Linked DNA regions of Drosophila melanogaster. Changing the gene in region 1 together with any one later gene gives a genetic interaction. Each region holds a gene or a part of one and is shown in the gene's direction. Other genes may lie near its edges.

What was found.
Region 2: of rictor (region 1) and trc, changing one suppresses a phenotype caused by changing the other (phenotypic suppression), as found in Drosophila melanogaster (one study listed by BioGRID).
Region 3: of rictor (region 1) and Akt, changing one suppresses a phenotype caused by changing the other (phenotypic suppression), as found in Drosophila melanogaster (one study listed by BioGRID).

What each region holds. Positions count from the first base shown.
Region 1 is NC_004354.4:19,258,199-19,263,005, reverse strand, and holds the start of rictor (rapamycin-insensitive companion of Tor), read left to right. Parts: upstream 1-1,765; 5' UTR 1,766-1,955; coding exon 1,956-2,019; intron 2,020-3,162; exon of another isoform or gene 3,163-3,261; coding exon of another isoform or gene 3,262-3,289; intron 3,290-3,359; coding exon 3,360-3,570; intron 3,571-3,633; coding exon 3,634-4,179; intron 4,180-4,639; coding exon 4,640-4,793; intron 4,794-4,807. Other genes in the region: Vav guanine nucleotide exchange factor, read right to left, coding at 413-667.
Region 2 is NT_037436.4:19,830,325-19,836,278, reverse strand, and holds trc (tricornered), read left to right. Parts: upstream 1-1,974; 5' UTR 1,975-2,186; coding exon 2,187-2,669; intron 2,670-3,135; coding exon 3,136-3,345; intron 3,346-3,402; coding exon 3,403-3,509; intron 3,510-3,554; coding exon 3,555-4,051; intron 4,052-4,108; coding exon 4,109-4,203; 3' UTR 4,204-5,415; downstream 5,416-5,954. Other genes in the region: CG32221 (uncharacterized protein), read right to left, coding at 42-158, 234-925, 989-1,478. UniProt on the Drosophila melanogaster protein: Serine/threonine-protein kinase involved in controlling cell structure and proliferation of a variety of polarized outgrowths including epidermal hairs, bristles, arista laterals, and dendrites.
Region 3 is NT_033777.3:16,097,229-16,105,266, forward strand, and holds the start of Akt (Akt kinase), read left to right. Parts: upstream 1-1,999; 5' UTR 2,000-2,432; intron 2,433-3,531; exon of another isoform or gene 3,532-3,551; intron 3,552-3,671; 5' UTR 3,672-3,715; coding exon of another isoform or gene 3,716-3,958; coding exon 3,959-4,498; intron 4,499-4,566; coding exon 4,567-4,764; intron 4,765-4,829; coding exon 4,830-5,219; intron 5,220-5,282; coding exon 5,283-5,516; intron 5,517-5,584; coding exon 5,585-5,731; intron 5,732-5,802; coding exon 5,803-5,886; 3' UTR 5,887-8,038. Other genes in the region: Mhcl (myosin heavy chain-like), read right to left, coding at 1-360. UniProt on the Drosophila melanogaster protein: Serine/threonine kinase involved in various developmental processes. During early embryogenesis, acts as a survival protein. During mid-embryogenesis, phosphorylates and activates trh, a transcription factor required for tracheal cell fate determination.

The sequences.
Region 1 (4,807 bases):
ATTGTTCAATAATATTTCACTCTAATTTGGCATACTGAACAAAATATGGGATTTCGGAGAATTTATTTCGGCACATTTTAAACACATTTTCGATCGAATTCGTTAAATTATTACAGTAATTTTTCTCTGGAAACGCATTTATTTCATTTTATATATATTTATGTTTATTATTTATTTATTCACACATGCAAATTCGTGCATAAATTTGGCATATTCTATTTCTTTATGAATTTATGATGTTTTGGCCAATTATTGTCACTAATTGTAAGTGATGTTTGTTTTAATGATTTAAATTATTTTTACAGATATACTTCCCCCTATTTCTCTCAGTGTTGCTTGTTTACAAGGTTTAGAGTGTGCCACCCATTCACAATTTGCCAGCAAAGTCACTTGCTTCTCGCATTTCACTCACCTGTGCCATTTGCGGCTTGCGATTGAACTCGCGCGGATCCAAGCTGCTGGGGTCCAGGTGGATGACCAGGTTGCAGAGCAGCACGCCGTCGCGCAGCGTCATCGCCAGGATGCGGATCTCGGCGTCCGGCTGGGCGGCCTTGTGGTCGGGCGGAATGACCTTGCACCTGGTCAGCCAGGCGACGCACTCGCGCCACAGATCCCCGTTCACGCCGGCCACGCCCCCAAAACTGTTGCTGCTACTGCTGCTGGCCATCTCGCAGTGGTTGGGTTGGGTATTACTATATGGATTGGGATTTGGTTTTCGTTTCGGATTTGGAGGAGGGGTTGCGGGTGGGGCGCTGGCGTTGGCGGTGATGGTGTGAAGTGGGGCGCGGGCCCAACTGGCAAGTGTTGGAGGGGGGAGGAGGAGGGTGGGTGGGTGCTACTCGCGTCGCGTTAATGGACACAATTGAGACTCATCAGTTGGCCGTTGCGATTGGATTGGTGAACCCGAGCACAGATACACAGAGCAAAAACGGAAGGCAATGAAGAGCACAACACTAGCCAACACCACACACAACAAAAACAACGATTTCGGGACAATTCGAGCGTAGTGGGGTGTATCGCGTTCGCGAAGGGCTCACCCTGTGCACCGGATACGCGCGAACAGTGCTTGCGGCTGCCGAGTTGCTCAGAAAGTGCTCGCCACTGTGGTTTTAAAACTAATTTACTTTATTGCAAAATATTGCGTTTATCGAAGAGGAAGAGCATACTCGACTTCGATAACAGTCTGGGCGGCCGTGTAACCGCTTGCGGCTCCTTCGAAAATACCAACTGCATGTGTGGTATTTACGATATGTTAATAGCATTGTTACTTTGTGACGAAAATTAATTGTGCACCTCGGTATGCTTTAATATAACAAGTTGATGTAAATTAGTAAGTAGAGTAAATACACATGACATATATTGACTCCAAAAAAAAAGTCACCAAATAATCTTGCAGAAGAATATTAAGTAAATTTTCCCTTACAGTATTTGTTTTAATTTCGTAATTTATAATCATATAAAATAGTTCTACGATAAGGAGAATTCCTATCTGGGGGTAATTCAGCTGTCCTCGAATTTCTCAGGTAATATTTTGAATATTTCCGTTCAATTTTTATAATTAGTGCACAAGAAATTCATTATATTACAGACACTAGCCTTTCAGAGGAAGTAAGCAAGCAAAATTGTATGTCAAATGTAAATGTAAGATGTAAGTGTAAAATGAAATGTTTTTCATTGAAAGTCGCGTAAATATTCCAAATTCTCGTGCCCGCGGTGGCGCTTCGTAGTTGGTTTTTTCTCCTGCGCCGACGACGGTCACTTTAAAGCGGCGAGCAATAAAAAAAATGTAAATTGTGCAGCAAGTGAAATTGAAAAGCAATATATTTAAGTGTGATCTGTGTGTTGTGGTGTGTGGGTGTGTGTTCGACATACAGCTAATAGGCGAGCGGGCGACGGCGCCGCACCCGCCTCGCCACGCCCCCATCGGCGAATCGAAAAAGAGGCGAAGCAACGCGATGGCCTCCCAACATTCCAGTTGGCGTTTTGGCAAGCGGAGCAAATTACAATTACGCATCAAAGGTAATGTAACGAATGTGCTAATTGACATCAAACACGGCGACGGTGGCATCGGCATAATGGCGCAATCACTCCGTTCGACGTTTTGTCTCACATGGCTCGCCCCACCGACCCCCGCCATTCCATTCAGTTTGCATTATTTTGCATTACGGCGAGGCATAAGCATTACAGCAGCAGCTGTTGTTGTTGTTGTTGTTGTTGTGGATCTTGAGCCGACCTCATCCCCAACCCCACCTACCCCTCCAGCAGCCTTCTGTTTATTGGACTTGGCCAATAATTGGTAGCAAAGGGTTCTTTTTTTTGTTGACATTGATGGCAACTAGCAACAACAATAATATGTTGTTGAGGGGGGCGGGAATGAGCACACTGGCAGCATTGCCCATAACGGTAACGATGTAGCAGCGATGCAACAGTGATGTACGCATGTATCGACAGCATGGCATTCTGATCAACATTTCTCCTGATCTCCTCAGTGTTTCCTCCGTTATTTATACATTTGTTGTTGTTCTCGTTTCTATTTTCTATTTAGTTTTTATTTTTATTTATGTATTTTTTGGTTTTATTTTGGTTACTTTTGTTGTTGTTGCTGTTGCCATTTGACCAAATTCTTCGACTACATGTTGGCCGATTATTTATAGAACGGTCGCCACAGCATAGAGAGAGCCCCCAAAAACGATGACGCAGCACAAGCAACAACATAGACATTCACTAAACATCGACCATAACAATAACAGCGATAGCAACAGCAGAAACAACAACAATAACAACAGCCACTACTAGAACTACAAAAACAATAACATACGAAATGCTCAGCTTGGTTTCTTCCATTCATCGTGTCCTTCACTCTTTCGTTCTTCTTCGCTCGTCATGCTCTCTCCTTTCTCTCTCTCTCTCTCTCTGTCGCTCTCCCCCTTTTCCAACCAAATCCATCATGCAAGTACAGTTAGCTGTAACGACGACAACTGCAACAACAACGAAACTGTTATGACGCTGTGTTGTTGTCATTTCACGTGCACAGCCTGCGTCAGCGTCGGCAGAGACAGAGGCAGCGGCTGAGCTGATTAGCTTTCCACGATCCACGATCAATTTCACTTTGATGGCTTTCTAATGCAAGTCGCTGTGTGCATGCATGTGTGCACCTCCTCTTGACCGTAAAAACCCCATGTACTATGATGATTTGAACATGTGCATATCCGAAAAAGCTATTACTTGCAAATAATATTTATGTAATATTCAAGTACATCGATGTGGCCATATTATTCATTCATAAAAGGTTGTTTTAATTAGTAATTAGTGTGTACGGATCTGATAAGAAAAGCAATGAAACTTTTCCTCCATTACAGTTTCGCAGGATCCGGAGGACTTCTACCGCCTGGATCCACAGCGATCGGCCGCCGAAAATGCATTCGAAATATACTCGATGCTCTGTTTGGAGGAGACGCGGGACACGAAGCGCCTGTTTCTGCTCAACGCGCTGGCCTCGCTCTGTTTGGGGGCCCGAAAGGGCTCCCACCACAGCAATATACGCTTCACCACCGAGGAGCTGCTCTACTGGTAAGATGCCCGTTGGGGAAACCATTGTTCTTAACATGGCTAATTGATCGCCCTTAATTGCAGCCTTAGTGCCTCACTGGTGCACACCTTCACCCAAGTGCGAGCGGCGGCACTGCGAACGATCCGGTATGCCATTAGCACGCCCAATGACATCAAGACGTTCAATGCACTGCAGCTGCAGCACCTGCTCTGCCGCTCCATCGATCTAATGCTGAAGAACGACGACGAGCGCGTCCAGGCACTGAAGCTGGTCCGCAAGATGCTGGCCATCGCGCCGGAGGACATCAGTCCGGCGGTGGTGCGCTGCCTGGTCTCGCTGGCGGATAGCGGCATCGAGGAGAACGACAATCTGTTGCGTGCCTGCCTGGCCACCCTGGCAGAGTTCGCTGTGCTCAATCCGGCGCTGCTGATCGTCTGCGGCGGCGTCACCTCCATAACCCGCAATGTGCTAGAGTGCCACAATCCCCGCATCGCTGAGAGCCTGTGCGGCGTGCTTCTGTACCTGCTCGAGTGGCCGCAAACGAGGAACATCTGCGGTGTGCGGCTGGACTGCCTGGCAGCTCCTTATTGCGATTTCACCTACCGGCAGAGTATCGTCGATAAGAACAAGTGAGTGCCCTAGTGAAGATCCCACCAATCCCTCCTTGAATACTGCAGCTTGGCTGCAGAATACTACAAATGGGTTACCCAAAACAAAAAGCAGTTTATCAAGCCAGATGTAAGACGGATCCACTTCACTCATTAATTCGCCGAAAGTAATTTAATGTAGAGTAATTATATCTGCTGTTGAATTGTAACCAAATAATCGATGAACATCACGCCGTCTTTTGAGATTATCAAACAGCGGATGCAAACATGAAATTCTAAAATAGATAACTAAAGGCAGCACGGCCATTGACCTCGTTTCATGCTCTAAATGAGTAGTTAAATCGGGCGAAACACTTTTGGAAAATCGAACAAGACTATCCCACAAACATCTACTGAAGTTTTTTCACAAGATGTACTACTACAAGTTGTAGATAAGCGCTATCAGTTACATCATTCTTTTATAAATAAAACTATCTTTCAGGGATGCGCGCGAACTTCGCTACACCAGCTGTCGGCTGGCACTGCTGTCTGTGCTGCGCAGCTGGACGGGCACCCTCGAATTCTGTGATCCTAGCAAACCCTCAGGCCTGAAAGCAATAGTCGACGCTCTGTATTTGAACCAGATCGAAGTCAGAGTGAGTACATTCCC
Region 2 (5,954 bases), on another chromosome or scaffold:
GTAATGATTGAAGAAACATTCGTTGTTAAACGAATAAGGCCTCACAAGGCTTGGCGATCGAATTCCGGCTCATCGGCATAAAAGTGTCCGCCGCTTGTCATTCCATCGCTGCACTCGAAGTTCAAACAGAGCATTTTCAGGGGAAATTCGTGCGGTAGCTGCAAACGAAGCACAAAGTGTCACATTAACATAAGGACTTTCGAATATATGTATGTGCTTTAAATATTACTCACCCGTTCCATGATGTCATGCCTAATGTCAGTGGCCGCGGCAAATAGCTCTAGGGTTTGATGAGCTGAGCGTTTCGATAAGCTGGCCAGCGTGTCCAAGACGAAGGCGTCTGTGATGCCCAGGCAATAGCAAATGTTCAGATACCGAAGGCGCTCATTGTTGGCCACCAAAAGGGAGAGCTGCGTTTCTCCAATCTCACGAGCGGACTGTATGGAAAGGCACTCTAATCGACTCAACTTCGCCAAGTGGTGAACACACAGATCGTCACGAGGCTTGCAGACCAGCCACCGGAGACACTTCAAAGCACTGATGTACTGCGCCTGCTCCTCGTCAATCCAGCGTTTGCGGTGCAGGATGAGGTATTCCAACTGAATGGAGCACTGGCTTTTGGCCAGTGCCTTGAACAGGCGCGTTTTCATATCCTCCGAGCAGTATAATTGCAGGTACTTGAGGTTTACAAACTGCGGCAGGACCAACAGATCGGCGTCGCAGTCATTGAACGTCAGCTTCTCCAGGTGGCGGCAGTTGGTGGCCAGCATCCTGAGATTGCTGGTAGTCAGAAAGCGTTTGGCGTTGCGCAGCTGAAGGCATCGCAGCTTCCTCATGGGTTTCACAATTGTTGCGAATTCCGAGGCGGTCACGTCGTCGTACAAGCCAAGTTCCAGCATCTCGCTAAACTGACGTACTTCTTGTACTGTGAAGGGAGAAGCAATTAAATAATATTGTTGTGATAAGGTGAACATTAAATAGTTCTTACACTCCTTGCGTTCAAAGCTCTCCAGGCTCAGACTGTTGACCCGCGGAAGGTGTATCCCAATGGCTTTTATTAGATCCTTGCTGGTGCTCTTGTAGTTACGCACGTGCACCTTTTCCAGGGAGCTCATCCTCAATAAATACGGTTGCGCCCGTGCCACTGTTGCATTGTATATAGAGATGGACTTCAGTCGGTAGCAGTGTCTGCTGATCATCGGGAGCAGCTGCAGCGGGTGATCATCGTCAAAGTGGGATTCCAGTGTACCGATGCGACTGCCACAGAGCCACAGAAAGGTGCGCCAATCCTCCAGAGTCCTTATACTCATATCCTTGTCAACAACATCCTGGAAATCATGGCGATGCAGGCGAAGAAAGGCATCCCTAAAAATGCGACAGCATCGCGCCAAGTGCAACTGGTCCTCCAAGCTTAGAAGCTTGAAGATGAACAACAGAGAACTGGGGTCCAAGTCCAGAATACTGGTGATGCGGGCCATTATTAGCTGACTATGCTCATTGCGCGGGACCGTCACAGGCGCCAAATGGCCAGATTAGCAAAGGCAACTGGTTTATGTACGCCTGACATGGAAAAATTTATCCCAAGTCGGTAAGTTCTATTTATTTACTAATTGGACTGGTGGCAGTGATGACAATTTTCGAAGTAAGAGTCTTTTGGCAAGATTCAAGCTAAAAGGTTAAAGCTAAGATATTTTAACTATTGTTTAAGCTTTGTTTCTTAATAGAATTACAGTAAATAATAACATGACCTTAAAGTAAATTTAAATAAATTTAAATTTAATCAATTTTAATTAAAAAAATCAATGTAAGTAATAAGTAACGTAATTTCAGTACATAAATTTTATACAATTGTCGGTGAAAGCTTAATTGTCATGACTATCTGCGAGCCAAAAGCACTAAAGTTCTAAAATCAATCGATTAGCTATCGATAGCCCCACTGGATCGCAGCCAACTTTGCTTTGTTGGGGATGCAAAATGCGAATGGCTCTTGAAGAAGAAGCAGCAGAGGGAGGAATTTCAACAAATTACCGAGGAAAAAGGCAAGAAACGGGCGAAGAAAGCAGTGTGTGTGCATTGGCAAGTGCATAACTCCTCACCACACACACGCACACGCACCGACATCGCAGGGAGCACACACACAAGCCCCAAATAGGACCGAGGTGACCAGGACAAAAACCCCAGCTTAGATGATGAGCAGCAGAACGCAGGACGCGGACGGTGCCTCGATCAGATTCAGCGACCACACACTGGACAAGGCCACCAAGGCCAAGGTGACGTTGGAGAACTACTACAGCAACCTGGTGACGCAGTATGGCGAGCGAAAGCAGCGCCTCGCAAAGCTGGAGGCTCAGCTGAAGGACGAGAGCTTGTCGGAGGCGCAGCGCCAGGAGAAGCGTCTGCAGCATGCCCAGAAGGAGACGGAGTATCTCCGGCTGAAGCGATTGCGCCTCGGTGTGGAGGACTTTGAGGCCCTCAAAGTCATCGGACGCGGCGCGTTCGGTGAAGTGCGTTTGGTGCAGAAAAAGGACACGGGACATGTGTACGCCATGAAGGTGCTGCGCAAAGCGGACATGCTGGAAAAGGAGCAGGTGGCACACGTACGAGCCGAGCGCGATGTCCTGGTCGAGGCCGATCATCAGTGGGTGGTGAAGATGTACTACAGTTTCCAGGTGAGTGACGAGCGCCAGCTACAACAAAAACAATGATATAGGGTGGGTGGGAGAAAGGGTGATGGGGTGAAGGAGCGGGCGGCAGCGCACATAACAAAAGAATTGTGTTAAAACACGGACAAAAAAATCAATAAACCAATACAACGGCAAATGCCAAAAGCGCCTTTGCCAATCATATGGTCACGTCTCTCTTGCTCTCTCGCTTCCTCTCTCATTCTCTGCGTGGGCCGCCTTTGTTGTTTTTTTCTCGATTCTCTTTTGTCAACTTCTTCTCGGTGAAAGTTCTTGACACAGGCGAACCAGCCTACACTGAATCGCCATTTCTCTGACGTTAAATATTTGTTTAATAAGATATTTTTGCATATTACAATTATTGTACAATGAATGTAAATACAATTGCATTCATATATAAGTATTTTCTTACTCAGTAATAATGTGAGAATGTTTTTGAAATATCTTTCCACAGGATCCCGTCAATTTATATTTGATAATGGAGTTCTTGCCTGGTGGTGATATGATGACGCTTTTGATGAAGAAGGACACGCTATCCGAGGAGGGCACACAGTTCTATATCAGTGAGACGGCATTGGCGATCGATTCTATTCACAAACTCGGTTTCATACACAGGGATATCAAGCCCGATAACTTGCTGCTGGACGCGCGAGGGCATCTGAAGGTAAGTGGAATCCAGATAATTGAGATGAGCCCACTAAAAACTCTATTATTATTTTAGCTCTCCGACTTCGGACTGTGCACTGGCTTAAAGAAGTCGCATCGAACAGACTTTTATCGGGACTTGTCGCAGGCGAAACCATCCGATTTTATAGGCACGTGCGCCAGGTAAGATGTGAAAGAATCTAAGCTTGTATTTATTAAATAAACTAGCTTGTCCTGCAGTCCGATGGACTCCAAGCGACGTGCCGAGTCGTGGAAGCGAAATCGACGCGCCCTCGCCTACAGCACCGTGGGAACGCCGGACTATATTGCACCCGAAGTATTTCTGCAGACTGGCTACGGACCCGCCTGCGACTGGTGGTCCCTGGGAGTCATCATGTACGAAATGCTGATGGGCTATCCTCCATTCTGCTCGGACAATCCCCAGGACACCTACCGCAAGGTGATGAACTGGCGCGAGACGCTGATATTTCCCCCAGAGATCCCCATATCGGAGGAGGCCAAGGAGACGATCATCAACTTCTGCTGCGAGGCCGATCGCCGGCTGGGTTCCCAGCGCGGTCTGGAGGATCTGAAGTCCGTGCCGTTCTTCCGGGGAGTTGACTGGGAGCACATACGTGAGCGTCCCGCGGCCATACCCGTTGAGGTGCGCTCAATCGACGATACGTCCAACTTCGACGAGTTTCCCGATGTGTCGCTGGAGATACGTAAGTATATTTTTAAGCAAAGGGACGAGCACACAGACTAACGTGCATCCATTGCAGCATCGGCGCCCATACCGCAGGGCGGTGAGATTGCGAAGGACTGGGTCTTTATCAACTACACGTACAAACGATTCGAGGTGCGAAATTTGGAGTGAATCCAGCAGAGCAGGAACTGGAGCAGGAGCAGTAGCAGTAGCAGCTTGAAGGTTGCCGCACTTTGCCACCCATTTTATCACCACCACAGCCGTCGTCTCTCTAACACCATCACCACCAAGAGCATTCTCCACGCTAAACGAAATCCCCGATTTTCCTTTTTGAATGTCTTACCTACATGTGTATTTAAATACTAGCTAACATTTGTGATTCCAAACAAGAGAAGAATATGATAACGCGAACAAACGATGTATTGTATGTAAAAAAGTCTTAGAGCGTCGCCCGCGCCTCGGGCTAGGTTAAACGCTATACTAATCCTCAAATGTCCTTCCATTGGCTTTGTTCAATCCCTAATCCCGATCTTAATCGTTTAAACGTTGTGTTTGTAAACCAGTTCCCCATATTAGGGACCCATTCGGCAATTCTTTATATATATATATATTGTTTACTTATTGGGCAGCAGCGAAATACCCATAAATTTATTATTTAGCAAATTAAAAATGTTATAACTTTTAGGCACGTTAATTGTACGTATATGTTTTGTATCAACTTGTAATGAAACAAAGTCTTAATACATAGTGAACCCCACACACAAAACCGAATCCGAAAATCTATCACACAAATTAGTTACTAATGCCAATAGCAACAAAAGCTAATCTAGACAGCAGAATAAATAAAAGTATGTTTAAATATCGGTTTCGTTCTATGTACACCTGCCCCATCCCACCCCACCACAACCCGCGCCCACGGACACGAATATAGATTTAAAAACATTCTACTTCCCGCTGGAGTTTTTAGTTCCAAGTAATTGTAGTTTGAGCAAAAGTGAATTATTGAAAAAGTTACCGAGTTACCGCTGGCAAGTATAAATCCAATTACATAGCAAACACTCAACGCCGAGCAGTTGCAGAATGCAAACTTAAAATAATTGATAATATACCTATAAATAAATTAAACGAGTAAACAAGTTTTAAGAAATTATTTTTGGTAATAGAATACAATAATAGTAAGCATACTGATAATTCGATAATAATGCTACACACACAGCAACATGAAATGCAATAATAAATGAAACATGTGCATAATAACTAACAAATACATGCTTTTTACTTGAATTCGACTCGATCTGGGCAATCAGTGCATTACTTACAGGAGTGCTAGCATCCTTGAAGCATTCTATGAGGTGGATGTGGTTCATGAAATCATACACCGTGGACATCAACCTTGGAATCATCTCCCTATTTCCACTTGAATCATGAAACCTATCTCAAAGAAACCTTAAGCTTTTGAGTTTCCCGTAGTGTAACAACATGTGAATGGGTATGGATACGACGAACCTTCATCTTTAACCTAAATGGTATTGTATTGTATTTTCGAAATAAGTAAGCATGAGGAAACCAAAAAGTAACACGACACAAATGCTAGGCTTTGTACATTTAAATGTATGTATATATTTTGTCGATCTTTTCATCTGCACTTCTCTCGATATTTCCCTATCTGCACTCGCGTTCGATTTTTGATTTGTGTTTTGTGTGTTGATGAGAGGGCGTTGATTTCATTTTCTGCAGTTCTGCAGTTTCTGTATCTGTATCAGAACAATGTGGCTTGGCTTTAATTGAGTGCAACATCCGAAACCATTACAGACATGAAAATAAAGATTTCAAATTGAATTGGTCAGGCGGTTAGGCTCGAAAATCGAAAGTAACTTGTTTTCCATCTGCGATTTAATGTGTGTATGTGTGTCGATCGTGGT
Region 3 (8,038 bases), on another chromosome or scaffold:
CACAGATGCTACAATCTCCTCATTGCCACGATCCTGCTCGGGATCTGCAGCTCCCACTGCTCCTCCGTTGCTTCCGCCGTTTGCATCTGCATTGAGGGCGGCAAAGAAGTCTGCGCTATAGTCCGCCGTAATTCCGCTCGGCAACTTTTCCTTCTCCTTGCGTCGCCCTCGGATTTTAAGCGATCGGCGCACCTCGTCCAGGCGGAGCAGCTCGTCGGTGCTCATGCTGCCGGTGACGCCAGTCACGCCTCCCATTCCCGGGCCACCAGAGGTGCCCTTAGCCTCTTTGCGCAGTTTTTTTTCGCGCTTGCGACGCTCCTTGTCCTCATCCCCAGCGCTCTTCTTCATAAAGTTGAACATCTTATGTGGTGTGTGGGGTCCTTAGGTGCTAGCTGCGGAAGGGGGGCGTTGGTGGGTTAATGCGAAGTTCAAGGGCGTGACCAAAAGTCTGGACTAATTCGATTTGCACTGTTCTCTTTGCTGCGCTCTATCCAGGGGTGGATCTAGACAAACGTGCAGGGCATACCGTTCATTTCCAAACTTGAAATTACAACTTACATTTTTAAAATCAGTAACACAATTTTAATTCACTGAATAGTTTAAAGTACGGTATTTATGTGATTTGATTTTACAAAAACATTTAAGGTGCCCATAATCCACGTTTAAGGTCCCCTGGATTTCGCCCCTGTACTGCTCAGTCCTGTTCTCTTCGTATTGCTATCTCGCTCTTACAATTGCACAGCCACTTCGAGCAATGCACCCGCCCGCACAACAACCGTTATCTTGCCACGGTGTTTGTGTGAATGTGCACATTTGCAAATCACATAAACAATGGCATATTTCTTCACTTTTGCACCCACATTTCTTCTGCTGCGGTGGCGGCTTTACTTTTGTCATTGAGTCGTTGCCATTTGCCCTGTTTCTGTTATTATTTATTATTCAATTATGCGCTTTCTTTTCCACAGCTAGCATACATTTGTTTTGTTTTCACACGGTAACACACACACACACAAAGAAAGGGGGGCTCGTGGCTGCGTTGGTATTGATTGCTCGAGACTGCACTCTTCCCTTCTCTCTACACCATCTCTTCATATTTTTCATTTCTCCAACTAATTGAATGCAACCGATTCTGCCTCATTACTTATGCTCATGCTTTTCCAATTGCTCATATTCGGCGAACGCTCTTATTCGGCCACAGCCCACAGTGATACACACGATAGGCAGAAAAAGAAAGTTGAGAGTCAATAACACCTTTGTTTTTGCACTTTTCTACGCCTTTTTTGATAACACACACAAACATTGGGAGGGACTCACGCACACACAGTCGCGCTGGAGTCGTTATTTGTTTATTTGAAAGTGGCATGCTATGTTCTCCCTTCCGATTGGGTTGCAAGTTATTTACCTCGTTTTGTGCCAATGGGGCACTTTATTCGCTACTCGTTTTTTGTTTTTTTTTCGGATTCAAAGGAGACTTCGCGTTCTGCATAAACAAATCTGAGCAAGAGTGCCCAAAGAGGTGAATATCAAATTTGATCTGGGAAACTGGAAAAGAGAACTGACTTTTTCTAGCTACTTACACATGGTCATACTTATCAGAGTATCTACTTAGTGCGGACAGGAACCATATATAAAATTGATAGGGCTTCCAAATTTTTGATCAATTATGCTTTGAAAAGTTATAACAATTTGTCGATATAAGAAATAGTTTTGTATACATAGCATATAAAATAAAGTTTTTAAAAATGAATTTAATAACAATACAGCATTATTATTAATCTGCAGTTCATACATTCAAATTTGAAGTGAATTCTAGTTAAAGAGTCGGCCTAGACAGTCAGAAAACAGAACTATTGCCTTCTAAAACATTTAATTTAAATTTAAGGGATATTTGCGCGTTGTACAGCTCTTAAATAATGTCTCTCTCTGGCATCTTTCCACCGTAACAGTCGCCTAACTATCGCTAAAACAGGTGGCAACGCGGATCGAATCAGTTATCGAGCCAGTTATCGAAAAAAAGTGAAGCGTAAAAACTAAACGGTACTTGGAAAATTTACTTTGCCTGTGTGCGTGCTTCTGTTTATGAAAACTACGTTTTTAAGCATTTGCAATTGATGCAACGTTGCTTTGGAAGGCAAGAAAACACCAAGTGGAAACGCCCGGGTGGCGGAAATCGACTTCCAGTGCGCGAGTGCGAGATTGTGTGTGTTTCGTTCCGTCCTCTGGTGTCTGGCACCTTAACACAACAACAACTACAGCAGCAGCAGCAACAACAACAATAGCAAGCAGCAACAACAACACACGCACAATAATAAGAAGGCCTGTGACGTTGTCGCTGCCGTCACCATCTAAAGGAAAATACCAAAACGAGTAGGAAAACAAACCGCAGTGCAGTAGGGAAAGCAAAAGTCGGGTTTTTTTTTTTACAAAACTAGGTGGGTTCTTGTATTTTTCACCAGCATTTCCACAATTTCCATTTCCACGAAGTGATTTGACATGTTGCGCTGCTAGGTCGCCGCTGCCCACACACACTCGCACACTCGGTGGTTCACTCACTCAGCCACTCACACCCACACGGCCAGACAATCACACGCACACGGCCAGACACTCACACATACACTCACACTCATACACCTTTGTGGCAGACACGCGTACTGTCTGTCTCCCTCCCCCTCGCACCCACAGTCTGGCCTCACTCGCACTTTGCAATGCAGCCCTGTCTGTGTGACTGCCTCGGTGTGCGAGCGCCTGTCCGCTTATGCCTGTGTGTGTATTTTGTCGATTTTTATTTTATGTACATTTGTTTACAGTTTTAGATAGATAGCGACATTTGTACAGCCGGCGGCCATCCGTCGTTGACATTTTCGCAAATTGTAAATGAATATGCTTTTGCTTTTGCAGTTGTGCCAGTGTGAGTGCGAGTACGAGTGCGAGTGCCGCCTGCGAGTCCCCTGTATGTGTACATATGTATATGTATGTATTATATATGCATATACATAAGTTCATGAACAGTCGCCGCCGTCGACTTGTTTTGATTTAATTTCGCGCTAAATGCAATCGCGAACAATTTTCACTCGTATCGCCGTGTCGCTGCGTAACATGGCGGGGAATTTCGTTTGAAGCCGAAAGTGGCAGCAACAACAAGGCGACGATGGCGCCTACATCTGCATGTGGGCCAGTGACTAAGAATCCAATCCCATACCATGCCACACCATACCAACCCATCCAATTCGATACAATCAGAATCACAGTCCTCAATCCAATTCAATCCCTTTCTGGCGACGGAAATGCCGCAAATGTTTTGCACCAGCTGCTGACGCAAGCGCCAACTGCATTTGTCATAAACATGCAAAATGACAATAACAATTGTTTACTATCAGCGTGAGATAGGCGATGTGGGAAGTATATATCTGGATAGACTTGGCAGCCTTTTAGTGTCTGTTTCCCCTTTTTTGATAGCTAGCTCATTTGGGAACTCCATTTGTCCACTTTGACTAGTTTATGTCGACAGTTGGCGGATCAGTTAATATCTAGTACATGTTGAATCCCTGAAGGTAAAGGTGTTACTAGACGAACCCTCTGCTAAAGCCTTTTTCTTTTCGTCGATCGCATTCTTAGTTTAAGTATTTCAAACTCAGCATGAATATAAAGGATTCACTGTACTCCTCTTACAGGTCCCTCATTAGCTTGTCCCTAGGGTTAGTGAAACAGCCTCAACACGAATTACCTACCGTTTGTTCTTCAGCGGCGATCGACTGTGGTTGCCAGCGCCCCAGCGCCAGGATCTGCCTCTAGGATCCCGGAATCGCCCACCACCACAGGGAGCAACATCATTAACATCATCTACAGCCAATCCACCCATCCAAACAGCAGCCCCACCAGCGGCAGTGCAGAGAAATTCAGCTGGCAGCAATCCTGGCCAAGCAGGACCTCCGCGGCCCCTACACACGATTCCGGAACCATGTCAATAAACACAACTTTCGACCTCAGCTCGCCCAGCGTTACATCGGGTCATGCGCTTACGGAACAGACTCAGGTCGTAAAGGAGGGGTGGCTGATGAAGAGGGGCGAGCACATAAAGAACTGGCGCCAGCGCTACTTCGTGCTCCACTCCGATGGAAGACTGATGGGTTACCGCAGCAAGCCGGCAGATAGTGCCAGCACGCCATCGGACTTCCTGCTCAACAACTTTACGGTGCGCGGCTGCCAGATCATGACCGTCGATCGGCCCAAGCCATTCACCTTCATCATCCGCGGCCTGCAATGGACCACGGTAATCGAAAGGACATTTGCCGTCGAATCAGAATTAGAGCGCCAGCAGTGGACGGAGGCCATTCGCAACGTATCCAGCCGGCTCATAGATGTGGGTGAGGTGGCTATGACGCCATCTGAACAGACAGACATGACAGACGTGGACATGGCCACCATTGCCGAGGACGAGCTTTCCGAGCAGTTCTCCGTACAGGGAACGACTTGTAATAGCAGCGGCGTTAAGAAAGTGGTAAGTACCACTCACCTGGTCATTGACCAAGGGCGTGATCGAGCTGACTCCATCTTATCTCCTTGTAGACTTTGGAGAATTTTGAGTTCCTCAAGGTGCTCGGCAAGGGCACCTTTGGTAAGGTTATTTTGTGTCGCGAGAAGGCTACCGCCAAGCTGTACGCGATCAAAATTCTTAAAAAGGAAGTTATTATCCAAAAGGACGAGGTGGCCCATACCCTGACCGAGAGTCGTGTGCTCAAGTCCACAAATCATCCGTTCCTCATTGTAAGTATTGCTAGTAATATATAATTTACGTTAAAAAACTAATATATGTCTTCCCTGTTTTGCAGTCACTCAAATATTCGTTTCAAACCAACGACCGCCTGTGTTTTGTGATGCAGTACGTGAACGGTGGCGAGCTCTTTTGGCATTTAAGCCACGAACGCATATTTACTGAGGATCGAACACGTTTCTATGGGGCAGAGATCATTTCTGCTCTGGGCTATCTGCATTCACAGGGCATAATTTATCGCGACTTAAAGCTGGAAAATCTTTTGCTGGACAAAGATGGTCACATAAAGGTCGCAGACTTCGGTCTGTGCAAGGAGGACATCACCTACGGCCGCACAACGAAAACCTTCTGCGGTACACCGGAATACCTAGCTCCGGAAGTATTAGATGACAATGATTATGGCCAAGCGGTGGACTGGTGGGGCACTGGCGTGGTCATGTACGAGATGGTGAGTTTGTTGCATCTGCAAATACTATTAACAAGTATTAAAAACAAAAATAATTCCTTACAGATCTGTGGTCGTCTTCCGTTTTACAATCGTGATCATGATGTGCTCTTTACATTGATTTTGGTGGAGGAGGTAAAATTCCCGCGTAATATCACAGATGAGGCGAAAAATCTGTTAGCAGGCCTTCTAGCTAAGGATCCCAAAAAGCGTTTGGGAGGTGGAAAGGATGATGTCAAGGAGATACAAGCACATCCATTCTTTGCGAGTATTAACTGGACAGATCTAGTGTTGAAAAAAGTAGGGCACAGTAAATCTGTCAGTTACCTATTCGTATATATTAATCGAATTTAAAATGCTTACCGTAGATACCGCCGCCTTTCAAGCCTCAGGTGACATCCGATACGGATACAAGGTACTTCGACAAGGAGTTTACGGGAGAGAGTGTGGAGTTGACGCCGCCGGATCCCACTGGCCCGTTGGGCTCCATAGCCGAAGAGCCGCTTTTCCCGCAGGTAAGATCTAGTTGAAAACATTTAAAGTGGGGTTCTGTATGCTCATCCAATTTTTGGTTTCACCGCCACAGTTCAGCTACCAAGGAGACATGGCCTCCACGTTGGGCACCTCGTCGCACATTAGTACTTCCACAAGTCTCGCATCGATGCAATAGAACAAGTTTACAAACTTTTACCAGCACACATCATGTTCTGCTTCATCACCTATTACTATACTATACCTATAACACATAGAAATGGGCAAAAGAAAACAACAGCAAGAATATATTAAATATTAATTATACCATGATAACGAAGGCAAGCAAAGGGTTTTCTTGCTAGTTTATATACACCAATAATAAGAGAATTGAATTGATAGTAACTTATTTTTGTATAATGAGAAAGGGAACGTTGAACGAAAGGGCAACAGCCGAAGCCGAGGAAAATAATTTACTACATATGATTATACACATATATATAAATATATATATATATATATATATAATTATATATACAACTAAATATAACACTTGGGGCATAGCGCTTGAAGTGATTAGTTAATTTTAAACGCAAGGAAAACATTTAACCAAGCGACTTAGAGCGACTTAGTGCTAGGATAAAGCATGCATCATCGGATCGCATCCTCTAGGGGTCGCTTAAGCTGATTGATTATACAGATTATTCACGCAGACAGCACTCACACAGCCACTTAGCATATAGCGAACATGAAGTTTAGTTAACTTGACAGCAACAAATCGAAATACACATATTCAACAACCGCCCCCACATGCAACACTCGTATATATAAATTATTTATACTCCAAAGAAGCAAAAAAGAAACAGAAACAATTACAAGTTATATATAATGTTAAAATTGCCTCTAATGTGCTGTGCTTTATGCAAAACTACAACAACAGAAACAAACAAACTAATAGTTAATAAACGAGGGAAACATACATCAATGCAGTTTATAGGCGCCAATAATTAGCAAGCAACTAAAAGTTATATTCAGGCAGAAACATATTTCGAAACAATAACGGCAACAGCAAAATGATTACAATTGACGCCATTTTTTATTATAATTTTTTACGAAAAATATATATTTGTAAATATTTATAAAAAAAAAGCAAAAACTCAAGAGTAAATGCAAAAAAAAAACAAAGGATGTATGTGTCGTGTGGAAAATGGAAGTCACCATTTGAGGCCACAGAAAAGGTTTAACCTTTGACACAATAAAAAATGTATCTTTGTCATTTCATTTTTGGCATTGAAAAGTTCATAACAAGTTTTGTATACTTAGAGCAAGTCAGCAAAAAATATATATAAATCAACCACAACAGACTTACAAATAGTTCCAAAAGGAAGATTAAAAATTATATAAACAGAAAAAAAACCTAAAAGAAAATAAAGAATTTTTGATATTTTTATATGCGCAATAAAAACAAAAATCAAGAATAAAACGAAACAAAAAGTTATTTTATATTTCGTAAAGAAAACAAAATAAATATTGTAAATAAAAATTATTAAATAAAATCAAGTTCGGGAATTTCAACTGAAAACAAAGAAATTGAAAGCATAATCTCTCTTCTAAATGTTAAACGAAACCTATCACTCGATGATTACAATAAACAGCAAATCGAAAACGAAGGGATATAGAAACGAAAAGAAAATGCCAAAGAAGCGGCGAAGTTAGGTGGAACTCGAGGAGAACCGAGAATTGAGGAGCCAGCAAGTCGGGATGTTTCGGTTGGAGTCTTGGACATGTGACGATGATGGTTCCAAATCATGACTAGGAACGAACTAACTAGCTAAAGCCAGCCTATGCTGAGGAGAGATATCAGATAGCTCCGATTGAACCAATCTTTATATCCTTGAACAGCTTAAAGTCCTTGCTTTCTGCTCACCAAGTTTGCGGCTGACATCTAGGCTAGCCAATATCAATCTCAGATCGATCAAGCAATACATAGACAAAATATAGAACCCCTAAGCATGGCTTAATAGACATACAACCCGAGAATCGACTTCAACAAGCCCAATAACCCTTCTGACAGACTCGTTAGGCAAGTCTGCCAGCCAAGGGGCAACCAGCTAGAAATCTAAAGCAAAGACTTAGAAATCGGTTAGGGACATCCGAAGCAAATTGAATACTAGCCTTAGTGAACGTCAACATCTCTGGTATCCCAAATCGAAGCATTTTCTACCCGTCGAAGGGGACGAAAGAGACCTTTCAAAATAGTTGTCTAAGTTTACTGAGTTGTGTGAGACAATTTTTGGTTTCGATTAAAAAAAAAAAAACAAAAACTTACACGAACTGCAAACTACAATGTG